Saccharomyces cerevisiae S288C: one gene and its partners. The main gene of each other region encodes a partner of the protein of the gene in region 4 in a complex. Each region holds a gene or a part of one and is shown on either strand. Other genes may lie near its edges. The genes, in order: MRP35, IMG1, MRPL6 and MRPL13.

What was found.
Region 1: MRPL13 (region 4) and MRP35 share a complex: the UniProt entries of both Saccharomyces cerevisiae proteins name them as parts of the mitochondrial large ribosomal subunit.
Region 2: MRPL13 (region 4) and IMG1 share a complex: the UniProt entries of both Saccharomyces cerevisiae proteins name them as parts of the mitochondrial large ribosomal subunit.
Region 3: MRPL13 (region 4) and MRPL6 share a complex: the UniProt entries of both Saccharomyces cerevisiae proteins name them as parts of the mitochondrial large ribosomal subunit.

Annotation. Positions count from the first base shown.
Region 1 is NC_001146.8:397,462-399,996, reverse strand, and holds MRP35 (mitochondrial 54S ribosomal protein bL35m MRP35), read left to right. Parts: upstream 1-1,626; coding exon 1,627-1,974; downstream 1,975-2,535. Other genes in the region: protein channel TOM70, read left to right, coding at 1-1,313; NMA111 (Nma111p), read right to left, coding at 2,319-2,535. UniProt on the Saccharomyces cerevisiae protein: Component of the mitochondrial ribosome (mitoribosome), a dedicated translation machinery responsible for the synthesis of mitochondrial genome-encoded proteins, including at least some of the essential transmembrane subunits of the mitochondrial respiratory chain.
Region 2 is NC_001135.5:209,374-212,006, reverse strand, and holds IMG1 (mitochondrial 54S ribosomal protein bL19m IMG1), read left to right. Parts: upstream 1-1,583; coding exon 1,584-2,093; downstream 2,094-2,633. Other genes in the region: ARE1 (sterol acyltransferase), read right to left, coding at 1-78; BUD23 (18S rRNA (guanine1575-N7)-methyltransferase), read left to right, coding at 462-1,289; RRT12 (Rrt12p), read left to right, coding at 2,397-2,633. UniProt on the Saccharomyces cerevisiae protein: Component of the mitochondrial ribosome (mitoribosome), a dedicated translation machinery responsible for the synthesis of mitochondrial genome-encoded proteins, including at least some of the essential transmembrane subunits of the mitochondrial respiratory chain.
Region 3 is NC_001140.6:392,139-395,073, reverse strand, and holds MRPL6 (mitochondrial 54S ribosomal protein uL6m MRPL6), read left to right. Parts: upstream 1-1,790; coding exon 1,791-2,435; downstream 2,436-2,935. Other genes in the region: SKG6 (Skg6p), read left to right, coding at 1-619; snoRNA-binding rRNA-processing protein IMP3, read right to left, coding at 989-1,540. UniProt on the Saccharomyces cerevisiae protein: Component of the mitochondrial ribosome (mitoribosome), a dedicated translation machinery responsible for the synthesis of mitochondrial genome-encoded proteins, including at least some of the essential transmembrane subunits of the mitochondrial respiratory chain.
Region 4 is NC_001143.9:449,867-453,001, reverse strand, and holds MRPL13 (mitochondrial 54S ribosomal protein mL50 MRPL13), read left to right. Parts: upstream 1-1,784; coding exon 1,785-2,579; downstream 2,580-3,135. Other genes in the region: RSC4 (Rsc4p), read right to left, coding at 1-801; MEH1 (Meh1p), read right to left, coding at 1,014-1,568; YKR005C (uncharacterized protein), read left to right, coding at 2,835-2,981, 3,051-3,135. UniProt on the Saccharomyces cerevisiae protein: Component of the mitochondrial ribosome (mitoribosome), a dedicated translation machinery responsible for the synthesis of mitochondrial genome-encoded proteins, including at least some of the essential transmembrane subunits of the mitochondrial respiratory chain.

The DNA of each region.
Region 1 (2,535 bases), on a different chromosome or scaffold from region 4:
AATTTGCGGATGCGATGTTCGATTTGTCTGTATTGTCTCTAAATGGTGACTTCAATGACGCCTCTATTGAACCAATGTTGGAGAGGAACTTGAATAAGCAAGCTATGTCTAAATTGAAAGAAAAGTTTGGCGATATTGACACCGCTACTGCTACTCCAACTGAATTATCCACCCAACCAGCTAAAGAACGCAAAGACAAGCAGGAAAACTTGCCTTCAGTTACATCCATGGCCTCTTTCTTTGGTATTTTCAAACCCGAGTTGACTTTTGCCAATTATGATGAATCCAATGAAGCTGATAAAGAGTTAATGAACGGTTTAAGTAATTTGTACAAAAGATCTCCCGAAAGTTACGACAAGGCTGATGAGTCTTTCACGAAAGCTGCAAGGTTATTTGAAGAACAATTGGACAAGAACAATGAGGATGAAAAGTTAAAGGAAAAATTGGCCATCTCATTAGAACACACAGGTATTTTCAAGTTCTTGAAAAACGATCCATTGGGAGCTCACGAAGACATCAAGAAAGCTATTGAATTGTTCCCAAGAGTCAATTCATATATCTACATGGCATTAATCATGGCTGATAGAAATGACTCGACTGAATATTATAACTACTTCGATAAAGCGCTGAAACTGGACTCAAACAATTCTTCTGTTTACTATCACCGCGGCCAAATGAATTTCATTTTACAAAACTATGATCAAGCAGGAAAAGATTTTGATAAAGCTAAGGAATTAGACCCAGAGAATATCTTCCCTTATATTCAATTAGCATGTCTAGCGTACCGTGAAAACAAGTTTGATGACTGTGAAACTTTGTTTAGTGAAGCTAAGAGAAAATTTCCAGAGGCACCAGAAGTTCCAAATTTCTTTGCTGAAATTTTAACAGACAAGAACGATTTTGACAAGGCTTTGAAGCAGTACGATTTGGCTATTGAATTAGAAAACAAGTTGGATGGTATTTATGTTGGAATTGCGCCTTTGGTCGGTAAAGCCACTTTGTTGACAAGAAATCCAACAGTAGAAAATTTTATTGAAGCCACGAATTTATTAGAAAAAGCGTCCAAACTAGACCCAAGAAGTGAGCAAGCTAAAATCGGTTTAGCTCAAATGAAATTGCAGCAGGAAGATATCGATGAAGCTATTACATTATTCGAAGAATCCGCTGATTTGGCTAGAACTATGGAAGAGAAATTACAAGCCATTACTTTTGCTGAAGCCGCTAAAGTTCAACAAAGAATTAGGTCTGATCCAGTATTGGCTAAAAAGATTCAAGAAACTTTAGCTAAATTACGCGAACAGGGTTTAATGTAAACAGTAAACATAAACTTAAAAACTTTTAGGAGAAGACAAAAACTAAGTAACAAAGTAGACTAAATGACAAAGGAAGAGCAGCAATGACATTGACATCTCACTTTGAAAATTTTTGTTTTCATTTTTGTTTCAATATACACGTATGCATGTTCTAATATATATATATATATCTTTTTCTTTTTCTCTTTCATTCTGTAAATAATTAGCAGTGCGTATAAACCACAACCAATTTTTTCAACCTTGAAGCCCTCGCCAATTTGCGGAGCCTAAAAAAATCTGGTCAAATACAAAAAAGATAGTATATATATCTATCATGAAAATTAGCTTGCATAACAAACGGCAACGAGGAGACCAAAACCAAAACATGTCTGTTTTCAATGTACTCAAACCACTACTTAAAGGTTCAAATAGTTTCAAAGTGAAGCTCAACGGCTTTCTATTCAATAACGTTTCTACAATAACAATAAGAACTTTAATGAAAACTCATAAAGGTACAGCAAAGAGGTGGAGGCGTACCGGTAATACTTTTAAAAGAGGCATAGCTGGAAGAAAACATGGCAATATAGGCTGGTCCCATAGATCATTAAAAGCCTTAACCGGAAGGAAAATTGCCCATCCAGCTTATTCAAAGCATCTAAAGCGGTTATTACCCTATCATTGAAGGTGGAATAATTATGTTCTCCTCTAAACCAAACGCACCGTTAACCCCAAATCAATTGTTTGAGTATTTGCTTTCGGTCTTCATGTATATAAATAAGTATGAAACAATAACCATAAATTTATACAATCGATAATACCTTAGAGAATTCAAGCGTTGAAGTAATTAAATACTATTTCGTCAGGCGCTTGCAACCATCTCGACATCATAATCCTAACCCCTCAAAATGATTGAAAAACTTGTAAATCTTAACGCTCCTGTGATAGTCTATAAAAAAACTGTTCTTTATGGAAGACTTTGATGTATACATACATACATACATATATAAATGTTTTATCAAATCTGGCCTATTTTTCACTTTGGCTGTTGCCGGTAAATTCCTTTTCAATCCATTTGTGCGTGATGTTGTCCCTCTTCAATTCTGCAGTAGGGAAGTAATGATAATTCGTTTTCAGTGAAATAGCGAAGGGCACATTGTCGAAAGTCATTAACCTCATTTTACAATAACTATTATCAGGGATTGTTTTGACAACTTTCAAAAATGTATCTAGATCAGGTGTTTCA
Region 2 (2,633 bases), on a different chromosome or scaffold from region 4:
TTTGTTGGCTTCTGCGGAATTGAGTCTGCGGATCTTAAGAAACTCTTCGTCTTGCAACAAATCCTTAGTCTCCGTCATTCTTGCAATCTGTTTTGGCGCTCTTGCTGCAAGCCGTGCTGAACAACCACCTGCGTGAGTGTGCCAATGGCGCCCCTTTCCTCCACCACGCTCGTCCTTCTTATATCATCCGCATGTTGCCAGGGTCTGCTGGGTGCTATTGTTCGCTAAACGAGTCCAACCACGGCCGGGTATTTGATGGCCAAGCCAGATTTTTTTTTTTTTTTCACTCTACACCATCTCACATTTTTCAATTTTATCGATAAAAAGAAGAGATGAGCAGCACATACATAGTGTGATAAAGAGGAAAAAAGCAGAAGAAGCAGAAGAAGAAGAGCATAGTAAAAAAGTAGTGCTAAAAAGGTGCGGTACGGAAACACAGGAAATATATCAGAGAAGAAATAATGTCACGTCCTGAGGAGTTGGCACCACCGGAGATTTTCTATAATGATAGCGAAGCACACAAGTACACGGGTTCGACCAGAGTGCAGCATATCCAGGCGAAGATGACGCTGAGGGCGTTGGAGCTTTTGAATCTGCAGCCGTGCAGTTTCATTCTGGATATCGGGTGCGGGTCCGGACTGTCTGGGGAGATTTTGACGCAGGAGGGAGACCATGTGTGGTGTGGTTTGGATATATCGCCCAGCATGCTTGCGACCGGTCTTAGTAGAGAGCTGGAGGGCGACTTGATGTTGCAGGATATGGGCACCGGGATACCGTTCCGGGCGGGCTCGTTTGACGCGGCTATTAGTATCAGTGCGATCCAATGGCTGTGCAATGCGGACACTTCATACAACGATCCTAAACAGCGGTTGATGAGGTTTTTCAACACATTGTATGCTGCACTGAAGAAGGGAGGGAAATTTGTGGCCCAGTTCTACCCGAAAAACGACGACCAGGTGGACGACATACTGCAGTCTGCCAAGGTGGCAGGGTTCAGTGGCGGGCTTGTGGTGGACGACCCAGAGTCTAAAAAGAATAAGAAGTACTACCTTGTGTTGAGCAGTGGGGCCCCACCGCAGGGGGAGGAGCAGGTGAATTTGGACGGTGTGACCATGGACGAGGAGAACGTCAACTTGAAGAAACAACTGCGCCAGCGCTTGAAGGGAGGCAAAGACAAGGAGTCTGCCAAGAGTTTCATTCTAAGAAAGAAGGAGCTCATGAAAAGACGTGGGAGGAAAGTTGCGAAGGACTCCAAGTTCACCGGGAGGAAAAGAAGACACAGGTTCTAGAAGAAACACACATCCTCACACGCATATTCTTTTGTATACTATAAAAATACACACTTATACATTTCCCTCTGTCTCTGTCTCCTTCTACATGTATACTTGTATATGTATACTTGTATATATACACTTATATCTGTATGTGAGTGGTCAATGGCTCCGCGCACTTTTATGTAGTGATGTATTTTCCTTTTTTTCTTGGTTTTCAATTTTGGTGCTTTGGAACTCCCAGTAAAGAAGAAGAAGAAGAATCGAGTCTTCCCTCTGAGCAGCTGCTGAAAGGGAGAGAGAACCATAGCGATGTGGAGCAGGAACGTCAGATTGCTTGGATCATGGACAAGGTCCTACATGGTCCCCGCCACCAAGAGAAAAACCATCCCCGTGTACCCACCTGTGCAGCGCATAGCTTCGTCGCAGATTATGAAGCAGGTGGCCCTCTCAGAAATAGAGTCTCTGGATCCCGGGGCCGTTAAGAGGAAGCTCATCAGTAAAAAGAACAAGGACCGCTTGAAGGCAGGCGACGTGGTCCGGATTGTGTACGACTCGTCCAAGTGCTCGTACGACACCTTTGTTGGCTACATCCTTTCCATAGACCGCAAACAACTGGTGCAAGACGCCTCGTTGCTGTTGCGGAACCAGATAGCCAAGACGGCCGTCGAGATTAGAGTGCCATTGTTTTCGCCGCTGATCGAGAGAATCGACTTGCTAACCCCCCACGTCTCGAGCAGACAAAGAAACAAACACTACTACATCAGAGGTACAAGGTTGGATGTCGGCGACCTCGAGGCAGGTCTAAGAAGAAAGAAATAGGCTAGGCGCGGGTTCTGTGGCCACCCATCTCCTGTATATAAGAAAAATAGTGCGTGTATAAAATCTACGTATACTAACTATGGGTAAAGTAAACCTTTTTGTACTGTTTTCTTTTTTTTTTTTTTGGTTTCCCGTAGTGATGACGTACGTGTATAGAGAATTGAAGCGAAAATAAAAAAAACGACACAAAATATTGTTCTCATTGGCTTTTTTATTTTCTATTTTACACAGCATATAGAGGTATACTCAAGTGCTAGACATCCTCTAACATCCGCCAAGAAAAACAGCAAAAAAACACTGGTCATGAAGCCACAGTGCATACTCATCTCTTTGCTGGTCAACCTCGCATACGCAGAGGAGTATTTGGTGAGGTTCAAAAATCCCACAGCATTCCAACAATTCACTTCGAATTCCAACAGGTCATGGAGACAGTTCATCGACAACAAAATTGAGAAGAAATTCTCCATCGGATCCTTCCGCGGCGTGACCATGAACCTGTCCAAGAACTTAGTGAACAAGCTGAAGAAAAGCCCACTGGTG
Region 3 (2,935 bases), on a different chromosome or scaffold from region 4:
AAATCCACAATGGTACGGTGTACCAACTCCTCAACAACAGCAACATAATCATCCTCAGACCCTGGAAACTATTGGAGAATTACCAACTCCCGCATATTTAGCTCAATCAGCTTCCTCGCATTCATTGACCTCTTTTAAAAGACCAAACAAGCAACAACTTCTTCAATTACAGACTGCCAGACTAAACGGAACTGCGTTAAATCCGGTCGATCATCCGGAAATGTTTTATTCACCGACAAACGATGCCTATTATGCTCCACAGCAGCAAGGCCAATATATGAAGTTTAACGAAAATGGGGCGGTTCCTTCACCTTATCAACTTAGACAAAGTGTGGTAATGACCAATCCTTCGGATTTGACGGCAAAACCATCTTATAAGCCAGCAGGTTCTTTCAGAAGTGTAAGCGCAACCAATTCAAGAAATAACAGTCTGACCACACAAAATAATATCTATCTGCAACAGCAGCAGCAGCAACTGTATAATTCTCGTGTTAGTGGGATATTAGAAGAGACAGATGTTGTACAGCCACCAAGTGTTGGTGGAATTTTGCCACATAGTGGTTCACAGGACGATTTAAGAAAACAATTAGGCTCTTCACATAATTATACCGTCAACTGAAGTGTAGATAATGAACGGACAATTATCGGATATATAAATTGATGTTTTATTGGAGAAATTTTACAAATTGCGTATTTATACAAATTAATTTATGTTAAATAGGATTTTTTCGAAGTGTATTTTTAAGTTTTAAGGCATATTTAACAAATGACGCCGATGAGAAATTGTTTTGCGGTTTTTCTTATTTTTGCATACGACGAAGAAGTTCCTTTGTGTATATAACAATTTTTCATGCTTCCAGCTTTTAAGAAAGCTCAGGCGCCTCACATCATTTGTATTTGCTGCCTCGTTGCCTATTCGTAATAATTTCACAATGTAGGAAGATGATAAATCGAGTATTGATACAGAAAACGTAAGTTTGTAGTCAATTTATGAAAAATCAAAATCGTCGATTTGGTTTCTGTATCTCAACAAGGTTTTCTTGATCTTAGAGTTGTCCACCCAAGTAACGTAGTCCTCCATATTTCTCGTTACGAGGTAGGCTGGATCGTTGATCAAATTTGGACCCACGCGAACATGCCCTTGTTCAATGAACTTGACTGCATCTTGTATAGTTTCCGCCATTTTTAATCTATGCATTATTACAGGTAATCGCCTCCTACAGATGGCACTAACAGTAACTTTATTTTCCAGATCAGAAATCTTTGATTTAGTTGTCAGGACACCCATAGCGTATAGCTTGTCCAGTAATAATTGCTCATGTTTGCGACGAAATGGATCAGTGGGAGGTAATAATGATAATTTATTGGCAAGACGACGAATATCACCGCATATCCTATTGTATTTATGATAATCTTCACGATTCTGAATATGATATGTTCTCATGACCTGAGTGTCCCGGTGGCCTTGGTCCTGCTTCCATTCAAGGAAGTCTACTTTTTTCAATAACTTTTGCTCATGATGCTTTAGTTTTCTAACCATTATTGGTTGTGATTATGCCTGGTGGTTTATCTATTTAGAACGTTCTATATTACTTATCCCATTGAATTTTTGTTGCGATGAGCTTATATCAGTGAAATTTTTTTCACTGGAAGTAGAGGGTAATGAAAGGCGAGCGGAAATAGCGAGGAGACGCTACGGTTATAGAGGAAGAATATCAAATACTAGTAAGTAAGGGAAGATCACGCAATAAAGCTATCGCAAATCTTACTATAGGAATTGAGGCCAACCTATGTCATTTATTCAGAGGAGGTTATTGTCGCAAACACTTTTTCTGCGCTCTCAAGTGGGGTCTTTACCACTTTATATATCTCCTGAAGTTCAGGTTTCCATAAATGCATTATCCATGCCCAGGATTATCAGAAAAGGTAGAACTTCAATGAATATATCACAGAATATCACAGTAAAGGGACCCAAGGGTGAATTGTCCGTGGAGGTCCCTGATTTTTTGCACTTGGACAAGGATGAAAAGCACGGTAAAATAAATGTTACAGTTCAGAATTCAGAAGATAAACATCAACGTTCGATGTGGGGTACAGTAAGATCACTTATAAATAATCACATTATAGGTGTTACTGAGGGGCATCTTGCTGTCCTTAGATTTGTAGGGACAGGTTATAGAGCTCAATTAGAAAATGATGGTAAATTTGTCAACGTTAAGGTGGGTGCATCTATCAAACAAGGATTGGACGTTCCTGAAGGTATTGTTGTCAAAACACCTGCTCCCACGTCTCTGATTATTGAAGGGTGCAATAAGCAGCAGGTCCTTCTTTTTGCTGCCAAATTGAGAAAATTCCATCCACCAGAGCCGTATAAAGGCAAAGGAATATACGTTAACGATGAAACAATAAAGCTAAAGGACAAGAAAATCAAATAACTTCAGGATTTCAGTTATTTTCGTACTCATTTTCGTAATTTTTTTTATGACATGTATCTTTTCTTATACTTTATAGGGAATACCTTGTAAATATCCTATGAAAATAACTTAAATGAAATTTATATTGGTTATTAATGCGGTGACGTGTTCTTGCTTGGTAAACATTTTGGTGTTCAATGAAACTCTTGGCTTGCAACCTTTAATATATACTAGTTTCACGGAATATGAACGCAATAAGTAAGGCCACAGAAGTTCGAACCTTACCTTTCATTTTATACAGTTTCGAAAAGGGAACACCATTTAGACTAGAAACCAAATATCCTCTTTAACGTTCTGCTAATGCTATATATTTTTTGATTCCAACGCTAATAAAGATTTTTTTTCTTGAGTACTTTTCATGTTTTGTTGTAGAGAGCCCATTTAAAACAAAGATGTTTACCAGAAAACAAAAGAAAAGATCAAATAAGTGAGTAAATGAAATGCTGTACCTTCCAATTTCT
Region 4 (3,135 bases):
GAATATATGAGCATTCTGAAAAACTAAAAGCATATCAATGATGAAATCATATATCTTGGAATACTGACCAATTTCGAGGTTCTGCTTTACGATCGATAAAGCCATGGGGCTATGCACTATTTCATAATATTCAGGAAGTTCATCTTTATCGACTAATTCCATAAACGGTTCACTTAGCTTGACTTTGTCGTCTAAGTTTTTAGGAGATGACGCACCCAGCAGAGCCTGGTTGATTTTCTTTTCCGTGGCGTCAACTAGCTTATTAAGATAGTGCAGTAATTTGGCTTTGACCTCGCTGTTAATTAAGTAATTTCTTTTCAAATTTTTTGCCTTCAATACTTCAAATTCAATCAACATTACTACTTGCATGGAGTTTTTTACAATCAAACTGTCATATTCATTGTAAGCTTGACAATTCTTTGTCAGTAGCTCAACATCCAAAAGAAAATTACTTGGACCATCTTCGTATTCATAATCTCTTGACTTGATTTCATTAATAGACATTGGCTGCTGGATCTTGTAATAATACTGTGGATGAAACTTCCTACTTGGTAGTTTGATGAAATCTTTGAAAATATCTTTGTATTTGTCGATAAGAACATCCAAAGTGAAACTAATAAATCGATTAAATTTAGGTATATGCCAGTCATCTAGAAAAAGTTCAGATTTAGGGTTTAATGGGGCGTTATAATCCACATGCGGAGTTTTCTCTTGGTTTTTAGGATGTTTTCCCGGCAAGTATTTAGGCCTTTCATCACTGCCACCGGCCTCAGTTGCCAACTTACGCTTCTTAACTACCATATCTGTGTACTTTATCTATTATTCTTTGGTTTGCTCTCTATTGTAATAACAGGCTGAGGGTCGTTTTAAACATCATCCTCTAGCATGCTTTTGTTGTTTTTTTTCTTGGGCTACTTGTCTTCCGAATTCGTCAAATGTGATTTTTTATTTCATTAACTATTTAACATTTATTTATAAAGCTTGTATACCAATGATGTTATACAAAAAGTTCATTAAAAGGGAACCGTCAAGGGGCCTGGTTTGTTTACCTGGGACTGGCTGAAAATTTCATTTAGTATATTAGAGTGCAACTTCTTTAACTGTTCCTTTGATATTTTCGCTGAATCCGGTGATGTAAGCAGAGTAAACGTATTAGTCCTTGGTGCAGTTTGGTGAGTAGTTGCCTGTGCGGATCCGCTTGAAGGCACTGAGTGCCCACTGAGGTTGTCATCACCTGCACTCCTTTCGTCTTCCCGGGAATCTCCACCTTCTTCCTGTTGTCTTTTATCAAGAGCTTCTTGCAGGTCTGTCCCTTGAATTACAATGCCACTATTGTTTATCATCGATATGTCTATTAGTTTATCGTTGGTGTTTGCAACAATGTCTCTTAACTCTTGTTCCCTGGCCAGCAGTTTCTGTTCGTGTTCGTGTTCCTTCAACCGCATTTGTTCGGCATCGTATTCGTCATTTGCGTTTCCTTGACTTCCATAGCCTGCCTGCTGTTCCCTCAGCAAAGCTTCATTCTCTTCGCCGGAATGGTTTCTACAACAGCTGAGTACGGCTCCCATTTTTACGACTTAAATCTGTCGTTGTATCCACTACCGCTATACTGGATTCGTACTCTGTGAATGCTCTCTTTTATTCTTCGTTCTTTATCGCTGCTGGTGAGGCGGGTAGCTGACAAATTTATAGTGAAACAACGACTTCTGTCAAATTAACTGCATGCCTGATCATCAGTCCTGAAGTGAATAATGGGTAGACGGAAAGGCGGACATAGTATGAGGATGTCGTCACTGCTTAAATTACATTGTATTAGACCATTGCCGCAAAGGTCGGTCTGGCTCTCTGGCTACAAGCAGAAAGCCAGATGTATTCACAGTTCCGCTGCAAACGGGGACTTTATGTCATGGTTCAAGAGGAAGAAGCAAGAAGAGCACCAAGAGCCTGTCAAGGACACCAAACAGTTGATAAAGGATATTGAAGAAGGCACTAACGAGGCTTCCTCTCAATCCTCTTCCAATAACAAAAACAGATTGGAGCTAATACCAGAAAATTTTATTGGCGAAGGGTCTAGACGGTGTAAGAGACAGAAGGAGTTGAAGCTTGCGGTCTCCTCTGCGCCATTCAATCAGTGGTTATCCAGGGATAAGATTACGTCTGATAATCAGTTAGATGATATGATATTGCAGGCAACGGAAAAAACATTGGGCAAAGTAGACCAGGACGTCCAATTCTCTGATTTGGTAGCTAAATTTCAGTTCACCAAATTTTTGCAATCTAAATCTGGCTATCTAATTCCTGATTATGAACTGACCACTTTAAGCACACCCTTGCAGTTTAAAAGGTATATTAAGGAAAAAATTTTGCCATCTGCCAACGATCCTAAACTCGCTTATAAAGAAGCTGAGCCAAATGCTATCCACCCATTTTCTGATAATTACGCGTCACCAAACATATATGTTGTTAACGATGTTACTTCTAAAGAGCAAAAAAGTAAATATGATACTATTATGAAAGAAATTCAAAAGTTAGAGGATGATGCAACAAGAAAAGCTTTGGAAACAGCAAGATCCGCTTAGCTTATGTTAATACTATTATTACTACTATCATTACATTTTAATATCCTGTACATATATATACTCTTTGAAGAAGTTTGGATTTTTCTTTCCCATTATAGATCACTTTTTTTTTTTACCTTATCTTTTCTGTAAGTTCTTTTTGTGGCTATATTTCCTCTTTGGCGGCTAACTCAAGAAGCAGTAAGGGAATAATTCGTTACACATTACAGCTAGCTAAAATCATCAAGAGGCAGGAACACACGAGATATACTGATAATGTTGGAATGTCTAAGCGCTCTGCTGGTTCTCTTTGCCGGTGGTGGTGGGAGCGTTCTCGCAGCGGTTCAAAGCAAAACTGTGGCAGATCCTAACTTATGTCCAGGTTACAATTCACAACTGATTTCCCCCTTCCTCTCCAGTTGCGTATGTACAACAAATTTACCGAGGTACTAATATTCTCTAGATTTTATTACTGACAAGATCCATGTGAAGAAACGAAATTTAAGTGAATGCGTGTCCCGTTATTTTGATGAACAATATGCATTTTGTCGGTCATGCGTTACTGTGAATAATGAAA